4 linked regions of the Danio rerio genome follow. The protein of the gene in region 2 purifies or fractionates together with the protein of the main gene of each other region. This does not show direct contact. Links are inferred from orthologs where the notes say so. Each region holds a gene or a part of one and is shown on either strand. Other genes may lie near its edges.

Evidence for each region.
Region 1: the proteins of lrwd1 (region 2) and orc3 purify together in Homo sapiens (affinity purification with mass spectrometry; 4 studies listed by BioGRID and IntAct, with this or other methods). This does not show direct contact. The link is inferred for Danio rerio from reciprocal best matches to the Homo sapiens genes LRWD1 and ORC3.
Region 3: the proteins of lrwd1 (region 2) and orc5 purify together in Homo sapiens (affinity purification with mass spectrometry; 4 studies listed by BioGRID and IntAct, with this or other methods). This does not show direct contact. The link is inferred for Danio rerio from reciprocal best matches to the Homo sapiens genes LRWD1 and ORC5.
Region 4: the proteins of lrwd1 (region 2) and orc4 purify together in Homo sapiens (affinity purification with mass spectrometry; 3 studies listed by BioGRID and IntAct, with this or other methods). This does not show direct contact. The link is inferred for Danio rerio from reciprocal best matches to the Homo sapiens genes LRWD1 and ORC4.

The regions. Positions count from the first base shown.
Region 1 is NC_133192.1:55,382,096-55,386,587, forward strand, and holds the end of orc3 (origin recognition complex subunit 3), read right to left. Parts: intron 3,276-4,492; coding exon 3,159-3,275; intron 3,063-3,158; coding exon 2,983-3,062; intron 1,543-2,982; coding exon 1,437-1,542; 3' UTR 1,276-1,436; downstream 1-1,275. UniProt on the Homo sapiens protein: Component of the origin recognition complex (ORC) that binds origins of replication. DNA-binding is ATP-dependent. The specific DNA sequences that define origins of replication have not been identified yet.
Region 2 is NC_133180.1:67,369,240-67,375,134, reverse strand, and holds the start of lrwd1 (leucine-rich repeat and WD repeat-containing protein 1), read right to left. Parts: upstream 3,327-5,895; coding exon 3,247-3,326; intron 1-3,246. UniProt on the Homo sapiens protein: Required for G1/S transition. Recruits and stabilizes the origin recognition complex (ORC) onto chromatin during G1 to establish pre-replication complex (preRC) and to heterochromatic sites in post-replicated cells.
Region 3 is NC_133179.1:22,958,854-22,964,815, forward strand, and holds the start of orc5 (origin recognition complex subunit 5), read right to left. Parts: upstream 4,503-5,962; 5' UTR 4,408-4,502; exon of another isoform or gene 4,320-4,407; intron 4,123-4,319; 5' UTR 4,120-4,122; coding exon 4,006-4,119; intron 2,571-4,005; coding exon 2,478-2,570; intron 1,727-2,477; coding exon 1,541-1,726; intron 982-1,540; coding exon 907-981; intron 724-906; coding exon 612-723; intron 275-611; coding exon 144-274; intron 1-143. UniProt on the Homo sapiens protein: Component of the origin recognition complex (ORC) that binds origins of replication. DNA-binding is ATP-dependent. The specific DNA sequences that define origins of replication have not been identified yet.
Region 4 is NC_133181.1:1,844,638-1,849,907, forward strand, and holds part of orc4 (origin recognition complex subunit 4), read right to left. Parts: intron 3,349-5,270; coding exon 3,273-3,348; intron 1,787-3,272; coding exon 1,701-1,786; intron 1,339-1,700; coding exon 1,290-1,338; intron 176-1,289; coding exon 24-175; intron 1-23. UniProt on the Homo sapiens protein: Component of the origin recognition complex (ORC) that binds origins of replication. DNA-binding is ATP-dependent. The specific DNA sequences that define origins of replication have not been identified yet.

The sequences.
Region 1 (4,492 bases), on a different chromosome or scaffold from region 2:
TCACATCAACAACCACGTGATGACAGTACGCAGGTGCAGACCAACGTAAGCATCTGTAGCCAACCTACCGTGATAAGCTAATAAATCACGGAGACTGTCATTTCTCTCCTGTTTCACACATACTAAATTAGTCTACTATTAGATGTTTTACTGTGGACCACTGTGCTTCCCTATCGTCATTAAGCACACTGGCTGAAAATTTAATTTCCTTTTATGGAAGGCCTTAATTTAACGGATTTTAATTTAAGACATTTTAAGACTTTTTAAGGACCCGCGGGAACCCCGATAGCGCATGAGTGCATATAGTGTATAGTGTGCCATTTGGGACGCAGCTTTTCTCAGAGTAATCTTATAAACTAGACCACGTATGGTGCGTGACAGCCTTGAAAAGACTGCGCAGTACAGCAAGCAGGCGCGCAATGAGGAAAACTAGACACAGCATCAAAAATGTTCACGCGCAATGACAAGAAATAATATAGGTCGTGCCACCAAACACATGAAAACGAAAGAAACGAGCCCGATTAAAAAAATGTAAGAAGTAGAAAGTCCAGATATTTGTGTAAAAATATAAGAAGTAAAAGTAAAAAGTTGTCAGAAAAATCAGTAGTGGAATAAAGTACTGACACCAGAAAAATTTACTTAAGTACAGTAACAAAGTACAAATACTTCAAATACAAGTATTTGTACTTTGTTACTTCCCATCTCTGGTTGTGACATCTCTACACAGTAGTTTTTTCCAGAAAGATTTAGGCTTGTCCACATGAGTCTTTGCATACCTCAAACCAGGGGCCTAGCGAACATTTTAAAAGTATGGGGGCAGGGGGGGTTGAGTAGCTGTATGAGATCAAAATGGTAATGTTAGTATAATTATTAATCACCTGTTTCTAAATGATTAGTCTCTAAAAGTGAGGGGGACGTACAAACACCCCCCCCCCCCCCCCCCCAACATAAATTTGCTAGCCCCCAGCCTCAAACAACTCTTTTTGTTGGCAGAATGCAGTAAAGTCTTCTGCATCACCTTCCATTGAGCTGTTCTTTGTGGAGACTGTGGAACAAAGCACAATAACATTACTAGCAGCAAGATGTTCCTGGAGCTCCTTGAGGTGGTCTGTGGTTTGTCTGTGACCATTCTATCCATTGTTCACCTTAATCTTTCAGATATTTTTCTTTTCTTTTCTTCACAAGAACTGTTCCTGTGGCCTTCCATTTTCTTACTATATTTCTGACTGTGGAGACTGTGGACTGACATCTAAAGTCTTATTTAAAAAAAAACTATTCAGAGGTTCAAACAGAATAATTTTTTTTTATTTCAATGGCATTTTTACAAGTACAACATGAATTTTTAAAAGTTTAATTGCAATAAAGCTCACAGTACAAAATACCATTGACCTGATTTATGAATGTCAGGCCAGTCTGTTGTGTTCAGGGAGTTTTCTTCAACATCCTCCCCATGTCAGTCTTGCCACATGGTCCGTTTTCTGTTTTGTTGATTTAACAAAACCAAGAAATTCCATCTCAGACACGGCCTGAATGAACCGAGCACTGTTAAATGTTAAGACCAATACATACTACAGCAGGCATGTCCAAACTACGGCCCGCGGGCCATCTGCGGCCCGCAATCAGTTTTGTGGCGGCCCGCGAGGCTTTTTATAAATACCAATAGAATCTGGCCCGCTACACAAAAAATGAATGTAATTCAATAAATAACCACCGGGTGTCGCTATTACACGCATTCAATTAAGCAGCAGTTCTTGTTATGATCTATCTATCTATCTATCTATCTATCTATCTATCTATCTATCTATCTATCTATCTATCTATCTATCTATCTATCTATTAAATTTATGATTTATTTCTTCTTTTTTAAATATTTCCCAAATGATGTTTAACAGAGCAAGGAAATTTTCACAGTGTGTCTGATAATATTTTTTCTTCTGGAGGAAGACTTGTTTGTTTTATTTCGGCTAGAATAAAAGCAGTTTTTAATTTTTTATGAACTAAAATAAATTATTTTTTATTAGCCCCTTAAGTCTTGAAACTTACAGAAATTTACCGTAAAATAACATACATTAAATTACAGAAATTTTCTTAAATATAAATTTCTGTAAATCAACCTGTTATTTTACAGTACATTTCTGTAATTCAACCGGCACCCCAGCTGTCGGAAGTAAACCATAAAAAAATTAAAGATTTTTTTACAGTGTATAATGTTGGATCACAAGATAATGTGTCTGGATTAATATTTTATTTTATGTTAAGTTAAAGATATTTTCAACACATAAATATACCAAGTAAAACTTACTGATGGTGAAATGAACATTTCTGAACCAGTGATCCGTTTTACTCAATTGTATCAGAGAAAGGTTCGTTACTCGAACAAACCATTGTTGCCTAATTAACTTGCCTAATTACCTTAATTTGACTAGTTAACTAACCCTGTTAAGTGTTTAAAAGTCACTTTAAGCGGTATAGAAGTGTCTTGAAAAATATCTAGTCAAATATTATTTACTGTCATCATGGCAAAGATAAAATAAATCAGTATCTAGAAATGAGTTACTAAAACTATTATGTTTAGAAATGTGTGGAAAAAAATAGTTCTCTCCGTTAAACAGAAATTGGGGAAAAAATAAACAGGGGGGCTAATAATTTAGGGGGGCTAACAATTCTGACTTCAACTGTATATATATATATATATATATATATATATATATATATATATATATATATATATATATATATATATATATATATACACACACACATTTATATATGCGTGTCTGTGTTATGTATGTAAAATTTGGCCCGCGACAACGTATTTTTTTTTTGCATCTGGCCCTCGGCCCAAAAAGTTTGAACACCCCTGTACTACAGGAATAACCATACAATTAATATTAGATTTATGACAGACACAGCTAAAATTGACATATATTCAATTAGGAACACATTCATTGCTAATATAAGATGTCAGAAGTAAAAGGATACTGTTTAAGGCTATCAAGCTGTCCATGATCCCCAGAATCAGCATCTTGGTCCTCAGCGGCAGACAGCACAGTTACAAATGCCTGGAAATACAACATGGATATCTGCCATCAACATGCACAAAGATAACCACCTCTACAGTATGTGTCATTTTGATTTTAACCATGTTCATACAGTACCTCAAGCCAATCATAGAGATTTATGAGTCTCCCACACTCAAGATGAAGCTTGTATACAATGCAGAGGTCTGGAGCAGCGCTGGAGATTGTGCCAGCATTAGTTTTCAGACTTTCATTCTGCAACAACAACAGAACACAGTAACAACTCTGGATCTATATATTAGGGCTGGGAAACTTAAAGAGCCCATATTATGGGTTTTTGAAAATTCCCCTCCATGTAGTGTGTAACACAGCTCTAAGTGAAGTTAAGTATCCAGCTAAATCTGTAAGAGTACAGTGTTTTAAACGGTTGATTCATCTATAAAAGAGTCGACTCATAGTGCTTCAAACGAGTCGCCTTGATACCGAGTCATTAGGTGTTTCGCCATGACGTACTAACGAAAGCAAGTTATGCACGCGCAAACCCGGGAGATTTGAAACCTGCGGCCCCGCCCTCTAACACAGAAACCCACACACACACACCCACAAACACACACACACACAAACATGCCGGTCGATTGAAGTCACACTGCAGATGGATATTATATCGAGTCTCTACCCAAAGATGAAACCTCAGCATTATAACCAAGCAGTTGGAAACTACTGGAAGCTTCTGCAAACTACATGCTACAAAGAATACTTCATCGGCGTTTGTTAAAGGAAGGATCAGTAAAGAGTAACTTACTGATGGACGTCAGGATGGGTTTCTTCCTCCATTCTCAAGTGTAAGTACGTGCGATTAAAGTTGCCTCGTTGACTCTAGCTTGCAAATGTATTTAGTTGTGATTTGTTACTTGTAACCGCGTGTACTGTATCAGGTTAACTGGCTATATTCTCTTATCGCGTGCAAAGTCACGTTAAAAACGAGACGCGTGCTGCTTTGTTTACGGAGCTCCATGGCAAGAGTAGTGTGTGTGTGTGCGTGCGCTGTCGTCCGGAGGTAGGTGTGTGTGTTTGTGTGTGTGTGTGCGCGCGTTGTCGCCCGGAGGTGTGTGTGTGTGTGTGTGTGTGTGTGTGCGCGGACGAGGGCAATGTGTGTGTGTGTTTGTGTCTGTGAAAAGAGCAGAGTGAGACAAGCTATGTGATCTCCTCGACAGTTTTTGGAGTTTTTGCTTAATAAAATAGTTAATCGTCTGAATTTTCAAGTCCATCTCTGTATTTACATTCACCCACTGGCAGCTAAAATCCACGCCTACACTATCGAGCGTGTATGAACTGTGATTACTCTTATATTGCTGATTAGCTGTTTGGCATTTCACTCCGACTGAAGGCAGTCGACCAATCGCAACAGACTGTCATTGGTCCAATCAGCGCAGATTAGCTTCGCGCTAAGGAGGGGTTTGGGAACAAATGAA
Region 2 (5,895 bases):
TCAAATGGCAGCGCCCCCTCGTCGGCGGAGAATAAGGTGAATTGGAGTTTTCATGCCAAAATGGCCGCCACGCCATCTAGAGGCTGTTTCCCAAATTGCACTAGAGTGTTGCCTCTTGGTGATTCTATGCTCTTTGGTTTGAGTGAATTCACAACCCGTTTAAATCAACATAACATGCAAATTAGGTATGTTTTGATGCTAGTTTATGCTGGTATTTGGAGGGTCATGTGACGGCAAATGTAGGAGGAGCAAAGAATCAGCTAGGAACCAGCATTAAAACATACCTAACCAGAATATGCTTGTCTTTTTAACAGGTCATAAAGCTTGGAGTAAAAAAACGTAATCTCCAAATAGGCCTCAAAGCACCAGGCCTCAAAAAACCCAAAGTTTAGTGAATTTAGAACAGATCTAAATGTTATCAGATCTAATGAATATATATTTTTATGTGTTCTACCAGTGTTGGAAAATGCTATTGTAAAAAGTAATGCATTACAATATTGAGTTACTCCCAAAATAACTAACTAGTTGCGTTACCTATTTACTTTTATGGTAAGTAATACGATACGTTTCTTTTTTTTTTAGATTTATTTTTGGCCTTTTTGCCTTTATTAGATAGGACAGTATTGAGACAGGAAGCGAAGTGGGAGAGAGAGAGGGGGTAGGGTAGGGAAATATCGTCGAGCCGGGATTCGAACTCGCGACGCCCTGACGTGCTATTGCACCATATGTCAGCACGCTAACCACAGTTTTTCTGACCTGGCTGAGGCTTGATCTCTTTTGAAACTTGCAGTGTTTTTTTCACCTTTTTTTAATAGAGTAATTAACAACACACTGTATAACAGGGCTTTTCAAAATCCAGACTCCGGTCCGGATCGGGTATTCAATCCGGACCCGGTTACATTTCAAGAGTTTCCACTTAGATATGCTCAGCATTTATAGCAGGTTTGGCATGCTGTCCCGGGAAAGAGCCCAGAGCTCGGAGATATTTGAGCCCACGGCTCCCGCCCGGTCAAAAAACATATCAGGAGAACCGAGATCATGTAGGTCTCAAGAGCTCCCTCTTTAGAAAAGGGAGGAAAAGGAGGAGATGCGGTGGAAGGGGGATTCTTCCAAAACGAAGATAGAACAGTAGGGAGAAAATTATCCATTAATAGTAAACTAGGATCACTCTGATTAGATTATTACTGATTACAGACGAGCAGCCAGTCGTGCTTAATCATATCATGTGCTCCTCTTAGAAATTAGTTCATGAAACTTTACTTCGTATTGCAAGACCATGCGTAAAGGATTCAAATTGTGGATTACATTCATTGAGAAATGCATTAACCTTGTAAATCAACAGTTTAGTTAAAAATTATACCATGAGTTGCATACGTTGGCACACGCGTTTTAATTCAAAATCATTGAGCACAATAACATGCACACAGCCAAGTGTAGTGTTCATGTAGATGTAACTGTTTAGATTTTACAATCCTTATCAAAATAAACTGTCAAATCGTACATACAGTACAGCTGAGGTCAAAAGTTATGATTAATCTAAAACATTTTTTCTTAATTTTTTATTATTGATTATTAAATAATTATTTTGCCAAAATAAGAGAGAGATCAGACAAAATGTATGTTTATGTAAGTACAATATATATTCAGATAAATAGAAAATAATTTTTGGATAAAAAAATTCCCTTATATGACTTTTATATACTTGATTATAAAGATTCTTAACCCTGTTAAAGCTGACACATGAACAAATAGTCATTATATTCTGAAATGTTTATTAATCCTTCTATCAAGATCCATTTTTATACCATATAGATGTTTTTATGAATTTATTTTGTGCCATATTATTATTATTCCCTTTATTTTACCAGAAAAGACGAATTGAGATTAAAAATCTCTTTTACAAGAGAGTCCTGGCCAAAATTAGGCCGTACACAAGTTACATGAGTCCAACAGACAACAAACAAAAAAACAACTTAGTTAACAAGAATCACACTGAGAAACTATTCAAAACATCTACAATCCTGTTTCAACTTCTAAATCTTTTATAGTCTTTTTAAAAGCATTTAGTGAAATCAATTCTTTGAACTGCAACTGTGTTTGCAGATTATTCCAAGCAAAAGGTGCTGCGTACTTAAAAGCCTTTTTTCCCCATCTCAGTCCGCACTTTAGGAACAGACAGCAAATAAATATCCTGTGATATACGTAGACCATATTTAAGAACAGGCTTTTTACAAATGTAATTCTGTAGATATGATGGGAGTAAACCCAGTATAGATTTGTAAACAAGAATATGCCAATGCTTGAGCCTACGAATGGACAAAGCAGACCAACCTACCCTAGTATACAGCACACAATGATGAGTAAGGGATATAAAATTAGTTATAAATCTTAGTGCACCATGGTAAACAGTATCCAATGCATTCAGCATTGAGACGAAGCATGAATATATATAACATCACCTTAGTACAATGTCGACATGAATGTTGCCTCAACCAGCTTCTTTTTAGCATCAAAAGAAAGGCAGTTCTTAATTCTAAAATAAAAGCCTAAATATTAATTCATCAGGCCTTTTGGTAACTTTTTTTGCTCAAAACTATTTGAATTTTAGTTACCAAAAAGTTCGCCCATAACATTTTGATAAAAAGAACATTTTAGGCAGGTTTTCTCTGCTTATTTCTTACACTAAACAGTTTACAGTCTTTTTTATTTAACTTTGTGAGAGGTGTAAGAGCAGTTTCAGTCAATTGTTCATGCAAAGACAGACCTTACACCTCGCATATGAGAAGTAATTGCATTGTTGTGTTATTTTGCCCTTTAGGACTACCAAATCTATCATTTTGTTTTCACAATTGTACAAAAAGTACAGAAGCAAGGTATTTAGTGAGGGAATTCAACTGAGAAGAGGTTTGGGTTGGAATAAGATGTAATTCCTTGCGACAGGCTAAGTGTAAATATACTTTTACTACATCATACTATTTCATTTGTGTTCAGAACTGCGAATGTATTTGTTTGAATCATGTTGATGAGGAAAACATATCTTTAATTTATTTATGGAAATTTTTAGCACTATCACTTTCCTGTTACAAGACTTGAACCCGCATACCCCTCAGTAAAGCTGTAGTTGCGCCACTGTGCGTTACCCCCAACACTGTTGATATGGCAACTACCTTCAGTCATTTTGATGTGTGCAAGTGTTTATATCTGTGTTATAACGTGTGTGGTGTGTCAACAAATGAACTTTCTTACTTGAGGGTCTTGATCTGGTCCAGTTTGTTCGTCTTTGTAGAGCTTTTCTCCAGCAGTATCTTCTCGGTAATCTTCTCCATGGCTGCATTCGGTGAAAATGTGAGTGTTGTGTTCAAAGCAGATCTTATAATGTCAGGCTGCAATGATTAAAGGTTTCAGAGACTCACTGGGGCTTTTGCTATTGGATATTGAGGTGTCAGAAACTCAAAGTATCTGGTATTATTATGCAATGTTACGGGGCGATTGTCCTGTTCTCACAGCTGATGGGCGATCAAAACACAGGAGATGGTCGTGAAACCTTTGTGTACTTATTATGAAGTTTGCAAGCCGAAAGTAAAAGTGCCAAACAAAGAAAAACATTTAACCAGTTAACTGAGAAAGCATGCTTTAAAAAAAAAAGTAAATTAGAAATCGAAGCTTTTGCTCACACAAAGAGTACTCAAAGTAAAATAACTTGCATACATCTGAAGATGTTTACGTGTTGTGTATATTTCCTTAATAACGTGTTTATTAAGAAACTAAAAGACAGAAATTAATGTTGTAATTTTAGTTTATATCGTGAGACTACGGTTTAGTTTGATCACATTATAAGTTAACGTTAGTGGTAAAACAGGCATTGTTCTAAAAATATTTTTGTTTCACAACTTACCCGTAATATGCATGCAGACCACAGACTGTAACAAATAGATGCAGACCAAATGTATTCTTTAGATATACAACACAACACTCGCAGACATGTGGTAGATTTAACGTCAGATCGTTTTCCCGGGAAACTACAAATGAACTTTGACCAGCTTCGACGTAAAATGTTTTGGCGTCCCAAATCCGCCATGTTGAGTGTGTCACTATCACATGTATAAATGTGTAATAAATATAATATAAATAACACATATAAAGCAGTGTGCCTGAACCAAAGTGAACTTCCAAAAAGTCACAATAAATGAACACATTTAAATGCTAAAAATAAAACGAGATATTGTATAAGTTAATGTTCATTTATTGTTGTTTGGTGAATGTCAAGTTGTTTGCAGTCACGTGGTTCTGGTGACGAAATTCAGATAGTAAAAAACTGAAGGATATTTGATGACAGATTGGGAACAGTTTTGGCTTCTTCAGAAAAAATATATATTTTTATCTAATAAAGCTATTGAATATGAGGTGCCGTATAGGATTTAAATCAAACTTTGCTTATCAACACATACATAAAACACGTGTATATACACCTATAAATTACTCGCATATACACCTATACTACTGGATGTTCAAAACAACATGGATGAAACTTGTGTATATACATATAAACTTGACGCATGAATACACCCACATACACACGCACATACATATAAACTCGATCCTCACATAAACACTCACATTAACACACGCACATACATATAAACTTGCTGCATGCAAACACACCTATACACACTTGCATATACATATAAACTTGATCTATGCATATACACCCATAAACTCTCACATAAGAATATAAACTTGATGTGTGCATAAACAACCAAATGACACTTGTGCAAACATACAAAATAAAATTCACAAACATATATACAGTTAGTTGTGTATATACATATATGCAAGTGATTTCATATGTGTGTATGCATGAATTTTCACAGTAAAAGGAAGTTATTTCACTTTAAAAGGAAGTCGTTCAATTTCAACGTAAAAGTCCTTTGAGTGTAATGAACAAGATTATTATTTGTCATGAATCAGGTTATTGCAAACCTTAAGAAACATAAATAATGTGATTATTAGAGGAATTACATCTGTTGAAATATGAAAATAGATTATGCTAATTATAAAAAATAAATAAATAAAAAGGTAATGCAAAGGAAGGCTCCTGCAAAATTAAAGGTTTATTATGCAATTAAATTATTGGAAATGTTATTATGGTTTAATAAATATAAAGTTGCTTAAGTAATCACTTTGAATAAAATATGTTTGTCTAATATTAGTTTTTTATGTTTGTTTTATTATTGGTGTCACTATTCGTCAAGGGTTATGATACACACTTATGTCCAGTAGGGGGCAGGAATGCACTTAAGTGGGTTTTCCTGTCACCAATAAACAGGCTAATGCACCAAAATGCTGGATGCCAGCTGCTGTAAAAATATAAGTAGTAGTTATTCAACACAAAAGGAGTGTCCAAATAATATATATAGCTTTTCCATGGGGGTTAACTTGACCAACATGATGAGCAGAACTTTTAATCAGCGTTTTTTTTTTTTTTTTTTTTTTGTATATGCTGAATAATTAATCAAAATGATACCAAAATCTTGCAATTTTGACACCCACATTGTAAAAACATATAAAAAGCATAATAATTATAAAAATGTAAAAAACAAAACAAGACTATAGGCTACATTAACATTTGCAATAGAATAGAGAAGTTTAGTTTGAGTTTACATTTATATTTATAATACTGGTTTCTTTTTGAACGTCCTTTAAGGGTTCTATCTGTCCATTTATATTTGTGTATGTAATTACCTAATTAAATAAAAAGGTTTTAAATGAAAATATTTCTTATTTTGAATAGTCTATTTATATATAGACTAATATTTTATATAACATATGTTCATAATTTAACATATTTAATCCCTCTATTAATCACATTATTTCTATTTCGTAAGCTTTGCAATA
Region 3 (5,962 bases), on a different chromosome or scaffold from region 2:
TTGCTCAATTCTGTCCTTTATGAAGCAGTGAAAGATGCAAAAAAGAGAAAGTTTTACTCTCTACCTGCAACATCATAAAAACTGCTACACATCAACTGCTCCGTTTATAGACCTAGACAATTTAAAGGGATGGATGATCTCACCAGGTGCCTGAGCTCCCTTAGATCCCTGCACACCGAGAAGAAAACCCCCAGCAAGATGTTTATGTAGGAGGCGTAGAGCTCAGGTGTGTAGGATGGGTGATGATCCTTTGACAGAATCTGCACAAGCTCCACTGTGGAAACCAGAAAACAGAAGTTTTCAGAGTGTTTCAAACACCCATCCAAATATTAACAGTGTCCTTGTCCTTGTTTGCAACCTGTATTAAAACTCACCTCATTGTGATTATATTGAGAAAGCACAAACGGTTTTACAAAAGCCCTCAAATGCCCGTTCTAGTTTAATCCCATCACAAATTTGATGTTTCAAGTAGAAGGTTCTTAGTTACATAAAACATAAATTGACAAATCTGATCTTTAGTCATGTTTATAAAACACTTTTATTTTGTGGTACAATTACATAATATAGTAAAAACAAAGCTCTTTATTGCATAATCAAAATCTGCCACTCACCTTTACTGTAATCTGGGAAATGAAAAAGCAGAGGTTCAAAGCAGCCGGTGTTAGGACGAAACTTTTCCCACACTATTTCGCTGAGTAAGATAATGGTCACATTATCATTTACCTGCAACAGATAGAAAATGCATCAATGATGGGAAGTTATTATATTTCCACATGTACTCTATTCTAACAAAATTTGTGGCTCTTATTAAGCATTGGCCTCTTTATAAATGGATGAGATTGTAACCCTGTTATAGTAAAGCATTAGCAAAATTGAGTGTGTGTGTGTGTGTGTGTGTGTGTGTACCAGTTCCTGTAGGCGCAGAAGAGCAGGAAGCAGGCTGAAATCCATATCTCTTATGCGTTCAGCTCGGTCCAGAACCTACAGAGACATTTAATAACTTACAGTATATGTTATCTTTAACATCAATGGCATAAAACAAACAAAAGTGTGGAAAAAATAAGACACCTTTTAGGCGGTCAACATGTAATATTCTATATATTTTATTTAACCAAATGTTGGCGAAAATATGACTAAAAATGATCTAAAAATATTAATTATTTATACTCAACTGTTGTCTTTTTCTGCAAATAAATTATGCAAATGATAATAATATTATCATTTGAAATAAAAAAAAAACATGTTATCAGTAGTTTAAAAAATATATAATAAAAACACAAAACATCTATGAATGGCAAATCTAGATAACTGATAATATTTTTATTAATAATTACTGATAATATGCACACTGTGGCATGTATACTGCAATATATACATCTGCAATATTTTGATAATTATGTATATATATACATAATGTATACAGTATGTGTGTGTGTGTGTGTGTGTGTATTGCATAGCCCTAATAATAACACCAAAATACTGACAAATCTCCAAACATAAGCAAAACCATTGAATGTTAAATATTAGAATGAAAACTCACTATATAGCGTGTCTGTGTGGCAGGTGTGTTGGAGCTCATCTGTTTGTACAGGCGTACAAAATCTGACAAAGACGGACAACGCGGAAGCAAAGCAGCTGAATCTGGTCCGAAAAGGGCGGACAACACCTGGTAAAACAGCAGTCCAGCGGACACGCACTCCACACAGTCCACTGAAGCATGAGGAAGCTGCAAAACACACACAACACCAAAATACAGCCATTGTCTTTCACTTCTGACACTAAACATGTTTACTCAAGAAACCTAAAATGAAGGCAGAAAAACACTAAATGGATTTTTTAAATTGAAGTAGTTTTGTTAAAAACAAATCATCCTATGTTTATTATTTTTATATATAGTTATATATAGTTTATATATAGTTTATATTGTGATTGATAAATGATCAATTACTAAATCGCTAAAGATAGAGGCCTCATGCTGAACTGAACTTATTTATATATACTTATTAAATGGACAAAGCACAAACAAAATTAAGTAAATAAAAACCTTTTTTTGTATGCAATTGCTTAACAGCACTAATATTAGATTTCCATAAGTCCCAAAACAGACAATTAATCCTCAAAGCTATTAATCGTCAGACAGATTTCATAACTGTGATGGCCCTAGCAAAAACATAAACATCACTTCTAACAGATGCATTACTAATGAAAAACAAATAAACAAGTTCAGCTCGAAATCAAAAAACCTGTTTGACTTACTTTGATATCCTCTGATAACAAAGCATTAGTCTGTGCCCATCATACACGACATCTGCAGCCTGATTCTGACTTATAGCTTAGCAGCATTGATTGTCAATATGGGAGGTGGGGGGGATATCTAGGCAAAAGTGATGTAATGTGCTTCTTCACCTGCATAAATGAGGACTTCTCCAGTTATATGGAAACTCGGGTTTCCATATAATCCTTTTTCATTATCTTACCTCCAGATCCTTCATGATGGTGAGCACCACATGACTCTTTCCCGTTGCTCTGTGCCCATAGATGAAAACTGAAGGATAGCTGTAGTGATCTGGCTGTTAATCAACAGAATAACCACAATTCAAGTTAACAACGAACATGTGACATATCACAACTGTCACTATATAATGCAACAATGCCAGTGTGCAGCATTAAGACAAATTGAACAAGAGTGTTTTTTTAAGAACTATTTTAAATACACTTTTCATATTTATGTGCATGTGAGATAGATATATATATATATATATATATATATATAAAGAAATCATGAAATATTATTTTTTATTCAGTTTTTAAAATCATGTGAGCTTTTAATGAACATGGTAAAAGGTTATAGCATCACAAACTTTTTTTGTCATTTACATAAAGATTTTTTTTGTTTGTTTTCAAAAAATGAAATTGGTCAGAACAATTAAAACATTAACTGTTTTCATTTGTCATAATTTAAAAAAGCAGTGTTATTGCACCAATTAGTTCTTGAACTATTTTTATTGCCGTTTTATATATAATACGTCATTTTAAGTAAGCTATTATAGTACACTTCTTCAATTGATTTTAGTTCAGTAATTGTTAATTATATATATGTAGCTTCTATACATATATGTAATTATTTATATATTGTAGTATGTTTATGTATATTTACTTTCATATTTACATTAAGTTGCATTATTATTACATTTCTTCTACAGTTTATAATGGTGTTTTTTTTTACATTTGATTGTTTTTATTATTTCTATAATTTATTACAAGAACATAAACAACAGTTAAGTATAAAGTAAACTATAACAAAAAATAATAATTCTGCCATTTAACTTTTTTATTATTATTATTGCAAGAACGATACAAACAAAACAATGCCAGAGGTATTAAAATAATAAAAAAACTAAATGAAATAAAATAATAGAAAAGGCTTAAAAAATATTACAATTAAATAATGCTAGGCCTTGCTAACTCACATTAACTTAAAAGTGTCAAACAAATACACGGTTTAAACAGCTATTTTGTTAGTACTTCCCTTAATGGTATTTATATAAATATTTAGTTCTTTAAGTACCACTAAAACAGAGGTTTCTGATTGCTAAATTAACATCGATGACATACATAATATCGATACATAACATAAGCTTCATTTTCCAACTTCTTATCATGGTTAAACCAAAAATAACATATTCATACAGTAAAAGAAAATTTGACAGCACTTAATCGTTTATAAATTTAGATACCTTCCCCCATAACAGTTTTGTGTATTGACAATGCCAGAAAATATAAGGTACTGTTTCTGGGTGAGATGAGCAAAACAATTGACATCCATTTTTTTAATACATCTGGTTAAAAAAAATGCTTAACAGGGTAAAATTAGTGTACTATCTTAAATGAGATTTCTTTGATTTTATTTGTAATTAAATATTTATTAGGTAATACCAAAAGTTTCCTCCAATCAGTATTTTGAGTAAACCAATAGAAAATTACATATTCTGCCATTTAACTTACCTGCCCCATGAGTGACAGCAGTGACGTCACCTGTGTCTCCCTGCATGGCAGTTTTTCAGCAAGGGTGCGCAGTGTGTCTTCAGGATAACCGGGACACTGCAGAGTTACAGGCATCCTCTGATCACAGCAAAACACATGCATTTAGTAAAGTGATAAAAACTACAGATGATAAAAAGCTCGGTTTAAAACCTTGAGCGCACACAGGTGTTTGAACAAACTTAAATGCAAAACCTAGATGTAGATTAGATATCGCATTATTAAAAATGATGCGTTCATTATTGAAGATTAATAACCATAACTGCTAGAACCTATACTGAGAGATATTCACACGTGGTCAAACTAGCAAAGCCCTAAACATAACACTTTTAAGCAAAAACCAGTAACAACAAGAAACATAAAAACCTGATACTCGAGCAAGTTGTGTATCAGCAGAAAGACATTACAATTTTTGGTTATATATTTTCAGCTTTCTTCCTGCACGGTAAACTTCACATCAGTTTCCCCGCTCAAGTCGCAACATACGTCACAAGCCGCATGCGTCACTTCCGGATACGGTACTCTGGGATATGTAGTTCTTGGCAGTTGCTCTTAAATTAATTTTTTATAACGTTTGAATCGGAGAATCTTTGGTCATAATTCTCGCGAAACTCACAGAGACACAAAAACGATTTTGGATACAATTTTATATCGGACTCTGTTTGATCACAGAGTCATGCCAGCGTCTCTTTTCTGAATCTCTCCTGTATCTGCTATGCGGACGGGAGTGACAGACGCAGACTGAATATTCGGGTGTGCCTGAAATCTGCGCTGTTCGCTCGAGCGCGCCTCATTGACAACCACACGCGCGGAATGAATCTTTTCATCCCTGCTTTTTTGCACTGAGTCGACATCACTTTGGTCAGGTGCAGTGGGTTTTCTTGCTCCGAGATGTGCGCGCAGGATTAAATCGGATGGAGCAGTGGTGCGCCGTTAAGCCAGAAGCCGAGAGGAGAGCGACATTTGCGTGTTGCAACTGTCTGTGCGTGTAAATCTGAGAAGAATGGACACGCAAAATATGATGCAGTGCAAGTGTCGTCATCCCAGCATCCGTTATTTCTGTTGAACGCAACAGCACGGCGAGACTGATCACGGAAAATCAGTCTTTTCCCATAGTAGCCTCGTGGAAACGACCATTTGGACTGTACAAGGTAGATTATTGCTTATATAAATGTACCCTTTAGTATATATATGTCTCATTCGCACACCATCCAAGCATTAATTTATTCGGGTCATCATTAAGTATTCATACTGACATTTGCGTTGGGAATATTATCTATGATGCGCTGGAATGCGTCGTCGTCATATGAGCAGTGTTTTCCTATGAGTTTAGTCATTATTTTTATGCTGTCCCGAGTGTGATTATTCACCTTAATGAGATTGCTTGGCTGAATGATGCGGATGCACAGACACTGAATGAGAGGAGAGCTGGAAGAGAACATCATTGGAGTCACGGACAGACTGCCACATCCACGCTGAACGAATCACTGTGACATCTGGCACCAAAACTGCTTAGTCTGTCGCGACATCTGTGAGCTGTTCTGTCTATACTTGAGTTTAGCTGGCACCCCAGGCAACAACCAAGTCCGGATTGAATATACAGAGGACCAAAAGTCCAAACTAAATGCAGAAAGGAGAGAGTCTACACTGAAACTACAGATGAGCTGGACCTGGACTGAATCCAGATAGGATCTGAATCCAAGCTGCATCTGAAAAGGACCAGATTGGGACTAAATCCAGACAGGGTCTGAATCCACACCGAATCCAAAAAGGACCAGATTAGGAATAAATTCAGATTAAATCTGAATCCACAATAAATCCATAAAGGAGCTAAATCTGAGCTGAATCCAGATTCTGGATAATTTTTTGCATCCACACTGAATCCATAAAGGATCTAAATCTGGACTACATTTGAATCCTG
Region 4 (5,270 bases), on a different chromosome or scaffold from region 2:
GGCTGTTTTGTATGAAGCCGCACCAGTCTGCAGGTGAGTCCGACCACAGCCACAGGCGTCTGCGCAGACTGAGAAACGTCCAGCAGATTGTAGAGCAGCGTCTGGTTCTTATGATGAGCAAACAGATCAAACTCATCCAGCAAGAAGAGCACAGGACGACTACTGCTCTTATCACCTGACAACACAGCACAATAAAGCTTAAAAATAAATGCATCACCCTTAAACCTACCCATACCACCAAACCTGTCCCTAACCTGACCTGTATCCCACCCTAAGAGCACCACAAGTGTTCTGCAAAACATTATGAACAGTAAGTACACTGTATTTATTTTCTAATGCAAGTAGTGGTTAAGGCCACTTGATATAAAGTGGGAGCCTTTTTAATATGACAAAATCAAATGGTGCACAACAAACTAGACTAAAACTAGACGTGTTGCATGAAGCATTAAATAAGCAATAAGATTAGAACCGCAAATTAAAAGTACTTTTGTTTTTTGGTTTATTTATTGTCACATCAGCACCTTATGGCTTATTTCATGACTAGATTATTATATTTTCAGTAAGAGATGATACAAAAATGTTAATATTAAATAAATAAAATGTTTTAATTTTACATTACATTTTTCAGATAAAATAAATTATATTATTAAAACTTATTTGAAGTAAATAAATATAAAGAAATACAAAAACTAACGGTAGAATCAAAACATAAGCATAAACAAACATCAAAAACATATTACATGATAATAACTTCATCATTTATTAAAGATTATGCTTTTTTTAATATTACATTATATAGATATGCTTTTTCAGTTTGATATCTATGATGATCAATAATGTAAAATTCTTTAAAATATATCAATAATGTAAAAAAAACTTTAAAAGTAAATAAATATATAGGAAACTAAAATTATATACATAAAATGATTAAAACCTAAACTAAACTACAACTAAATGGACAAAAATAAATAAATAATAAGTTATTAATTATCAATGAAATAAATTCAAATTGTAGTACAGTATTATAAATAAATGTATGTATATATACACATGTATATACACATGTATATACATATATATATATATATATATATATATATATATATATATATATATATATATGTGTGTATATATATATATATATATATATATATATATATATATATATACACACACACACGTATGTATATAAATATGTATATATATATATATATATATATATATATATATATATATATATACATACATACACACACACACAGATAACATAAAAACAACTGAAGCTTCACCTTTCTTGAGAGCCTCCAAAAGAAAAGCCAGATTTTCCGCAAAACTGCCCTGAAACACAAAAAAACCATCAGTATAAAAACATGAAAGGGTTAGTTCACTTAACAATTTAATTCTGTCATCATTTGCACACTTTTTAACATGTTTCAAACCTTCATGAGATCCTTTCTTCTGATGAACACAAAAGAAGATATTTTGGAAAATGTTGGAAACCGGTAACCATTGACCTCAATTGTATTTGTTTTTCTTACTGTGTCAGTCAATGGTTACAGGTTTCCAACAATCTTCTTTGTGTTTAACAGAAGTAAGAAACTCGTAAAGGTTTTGAACTACTTGAGGGTCAGTAAATATTAAGTACATTTTCATTTCTGGGTGAACTGCCCAATATCAGAATACTAATATCTGAAACTCACAAACACTTTGTCTCCTACGACGTTCTCCAGATGCAGCTGCCGCGTGATTTCTTTCAGAGCAATTTTATCATCCGTCTGCAGAAGACCTGCATTCAGAAAGCCAGATGCTGAGTTTCCATGCACCCATTTTAAACCACATTTTGGAACTTTGCAATAAAAAATGTATAATAGAAACACCAAGATATTAGACCAGAATAACAATCCTATGCCGACAATTGAGTAGGATAAACTTTTTAGCAGATAAAAAAACTATGATGGAAAAAATTGTACTGAATAAACTTCATTTATGCGCATCAGAAAAGCAATGAACAATACATCTAACTTTATTTATTATTTTTGTTACAGCTTGTTATTGAAATATTGAAAAAAATTAATTGTGAAATTAGACAAAACTATTGGAGCTGAATGAGGAACATTAATAAAACAAAAACAGCAAGATTAATTAAATCTGCAAGCACAAATGTTGAATTTGAACGTCTCTAGCATACAGCAGGCTACCGGGTGTTTTCCAGTAAATGCCAGCAATATTTTACTAATATAGTGCACATGTGCATGTGCTCGATCAATCTGCGTGCTGTGATGTAGTTTTTGCCAGATGCTTCTATTATTATTCTCTCTAGGACTGTCTTGAGCATCTGTCTGCGCTCATGTCTTACGCCTCCCAAGGCCACCACATTCACTATATATTGGTTTTGTCTTCGTTTTCTGAGGCGCAACTCATTTATAAGAGAAGAAACACCACAGTAGCAAATCCCAGCACATCAAACTACACTTCTCTCAGCAATATCTGTGCAAGTTTAGCAGGAACTGAGGATTTTCTTCTCTTATTTCTCATTAGACTGAAACACTGATTTATTCACTATTGTGTTATTCCATATGCACATTAGTCACATGTGTGCATTATTAATTCATATCTTTATGATGGAAGCATAGCGTATCATATAACAACATAAAAACAACATGACCTTTTCACCTTTTAATGACTGAATTCTACTTATTCAAAAGGGGGTGTGAACTTACACACACATTTTTTCACTACCTAATTTGGGAACACGTCTGAATAGACTCAAAGTAAACAACTTACACACACGCCCCGTCTCTTATCCATGAATGCACCAATTTCTGATCTAATCAGAGCATCCGACGTGTAGAAAAGAGCTGAGAAAAGCCTGTGATGAATTTTAGCTTGCGAAAAAAAGATTAAACATAACCATTTCTTAAGTATTAACTGCACTTATGTGTGCATTAAAAGCATTTTATTCTTTAAAAAACATTTATTGTGCTTCATCTTCGTCTTCTGGGGCACAACTCATTTATTAGAGGAGAAAAAACACCAGTGGCAAATCCCAACGGATCCAACTACACTTCTCTCAGCTATATTAGTGCAAGTTTATCAAGAAGTGCTGATTTTGTGCTCTTTTGTTTCTCATTAGACGTAAATGCTGCTTTATTCAGTAATGTTTTATGCGTTATTGCATATTTGCACATAAATCTAATGCATATCTTTGAATGCAAACGCAGCTCATGTTTAAAACAGAGTATAACACATTAAGATGATGTGCAGGATCTCACCGTTCAGCTCCACCAGCAGAACATTCTTCTGCACCTCCTTCAGACTCATGAGCTCTCGGAGAACACAACCCAACAACTGCACAACAAACAACACACACATTAGCAAACATCACAACACAAAGGCCACATAGAAATGCTCAGCTTATCTGGATTTAAAACACACTGATTGTTTTATTCTGTAACCGCTGATAACATTTCTTCTTAAAGTAAAACTGTTGTCATTTAGATAATTTTTGTGCATAAAATAACAAAAAGGAGCCTTGTTTTTTATATTTATATTCATTTCTCAGACAACACAATGCCAATGTTTTACAGAAGAGTACAAAAACTATATAAATGTCAAATACAGTTGAAACCAGAAGTCTACATACACTCTAAAAAAGGAACATAACCATTTTTTTTATGTCTGATGGTAAATCACTAAATGTTTACTATTTTAGGTCCGTTAGGATTAACTAAATCATTTACATTTGCTAAAGGCCAGAATAAGGAGAGGACTTTTTTTTTGAGAATTTTTTATTCATTTCTAGACAGTCAAAAGTTTACACACACTGCCTTGGTGTTTCTTAGCTTTGCTTTTAAACTGTATAACTTTGGTTAAATGTTTTGGGTCTCCTTCCACAAGCTTCTCACAATTTTTTTTTGGGGGGGGGGGGGGATTTGCCCCACTCCTCCTGACAGAATTGGTGTAACTGAGTCAGATTTGTAGGCTGTCTTGCTCACACAAGCTTTTTCATCTCTTCCCACACATTTTCTATAGGATTGACATCAGGGCTTTGTGATGGCCACTCCAAAACATTCACTCTGTTGTCCTTAAAGCACATTTGAACTAATTTGGCAGTATGCTTAGGGTCATGGTCTGTTTGGAAGAGCCATTTGTGGCCAAGTTTTAATCTCCTGGCTGATGTCTTGAGATGTTGCTTCAGTATTTCTCCATAATGTTCTGTCTTCATGATGCCAACTATGCTGTGAAGTGTACCAGTCCCTCCTGCAGCAAAACAGCCCCACATGATGCTGCCGCCCCCATACTTCACAGTAGGGATGGTGATCCAAGGCTTGTAAGCTTTCCTCTTTGTCCTCCAGATGTAACACTGCTCATTATGGCCAAACGGTTCAATTTTAGCTCCATCAGATCACAGGACATGTCTCAATAAATTTAGTTTTTTCCCCAGTGTCATTTAGCTAATTGTAATCTGGCTTTGTTGTTGATTCTGGCTTGTTGATTTTCCCATGTTGGTACACAAGGAATCAGTGTGTTTGAGCTTTTCCTTCAATACTATTCTACAGTTGTGTCTCCAATGAACTCAAATATGGTCAATTAGCCAATCAGAAACTTCCAGAACCTTGACACCATCATCTGAGCTTTTCCAGAGGCAGAATTATGTTACTGTATGTAAACTTGACTTTTAAGAAAAGTTATAGCAATTTCTCAAACAATATCGCTCTCATTATTCTGCTATTAAGCAGAACAGGAATATTTGATCATCCTAACTTACCTAAAAAAGAAAAAGTTTAATCACATTAACATCTGACTCTTTAAGTAAATTTTTTAATGCCTTTTTATACAGTGTAAGTAAACTTCTGGTTTCAACTGTATATATTATTAGAATGACTGTATATGGTAAATATAAATATATATTTTGGCTGGAAGGGCATCAGCTGTGTAAAACATATGCTGGAATAGTTGGCAGTTCATTCCACTGTGGCAACCCCTGATAAATAATGGAACTAAGCCGAAGGAAAATGGATGAATGAATAAAAAAGTACAAAAATGCCATGTTATTTTTATGTACTGCAATAAAAGACTACATAAATTATTTAATTGTATTATGTCATTATTTTATTAGGGTAAACATTTTCAAGGTTTGTATAACAAATGAATGTTGCAGCATAAACCTTCTTAAATCATTTCTTCTATTATGTGTCATATAAAGATATTTAATAAGACATGAGGGTGAGTAAATGATGATATCTGCATTTAATTTTTATTTTTTGATT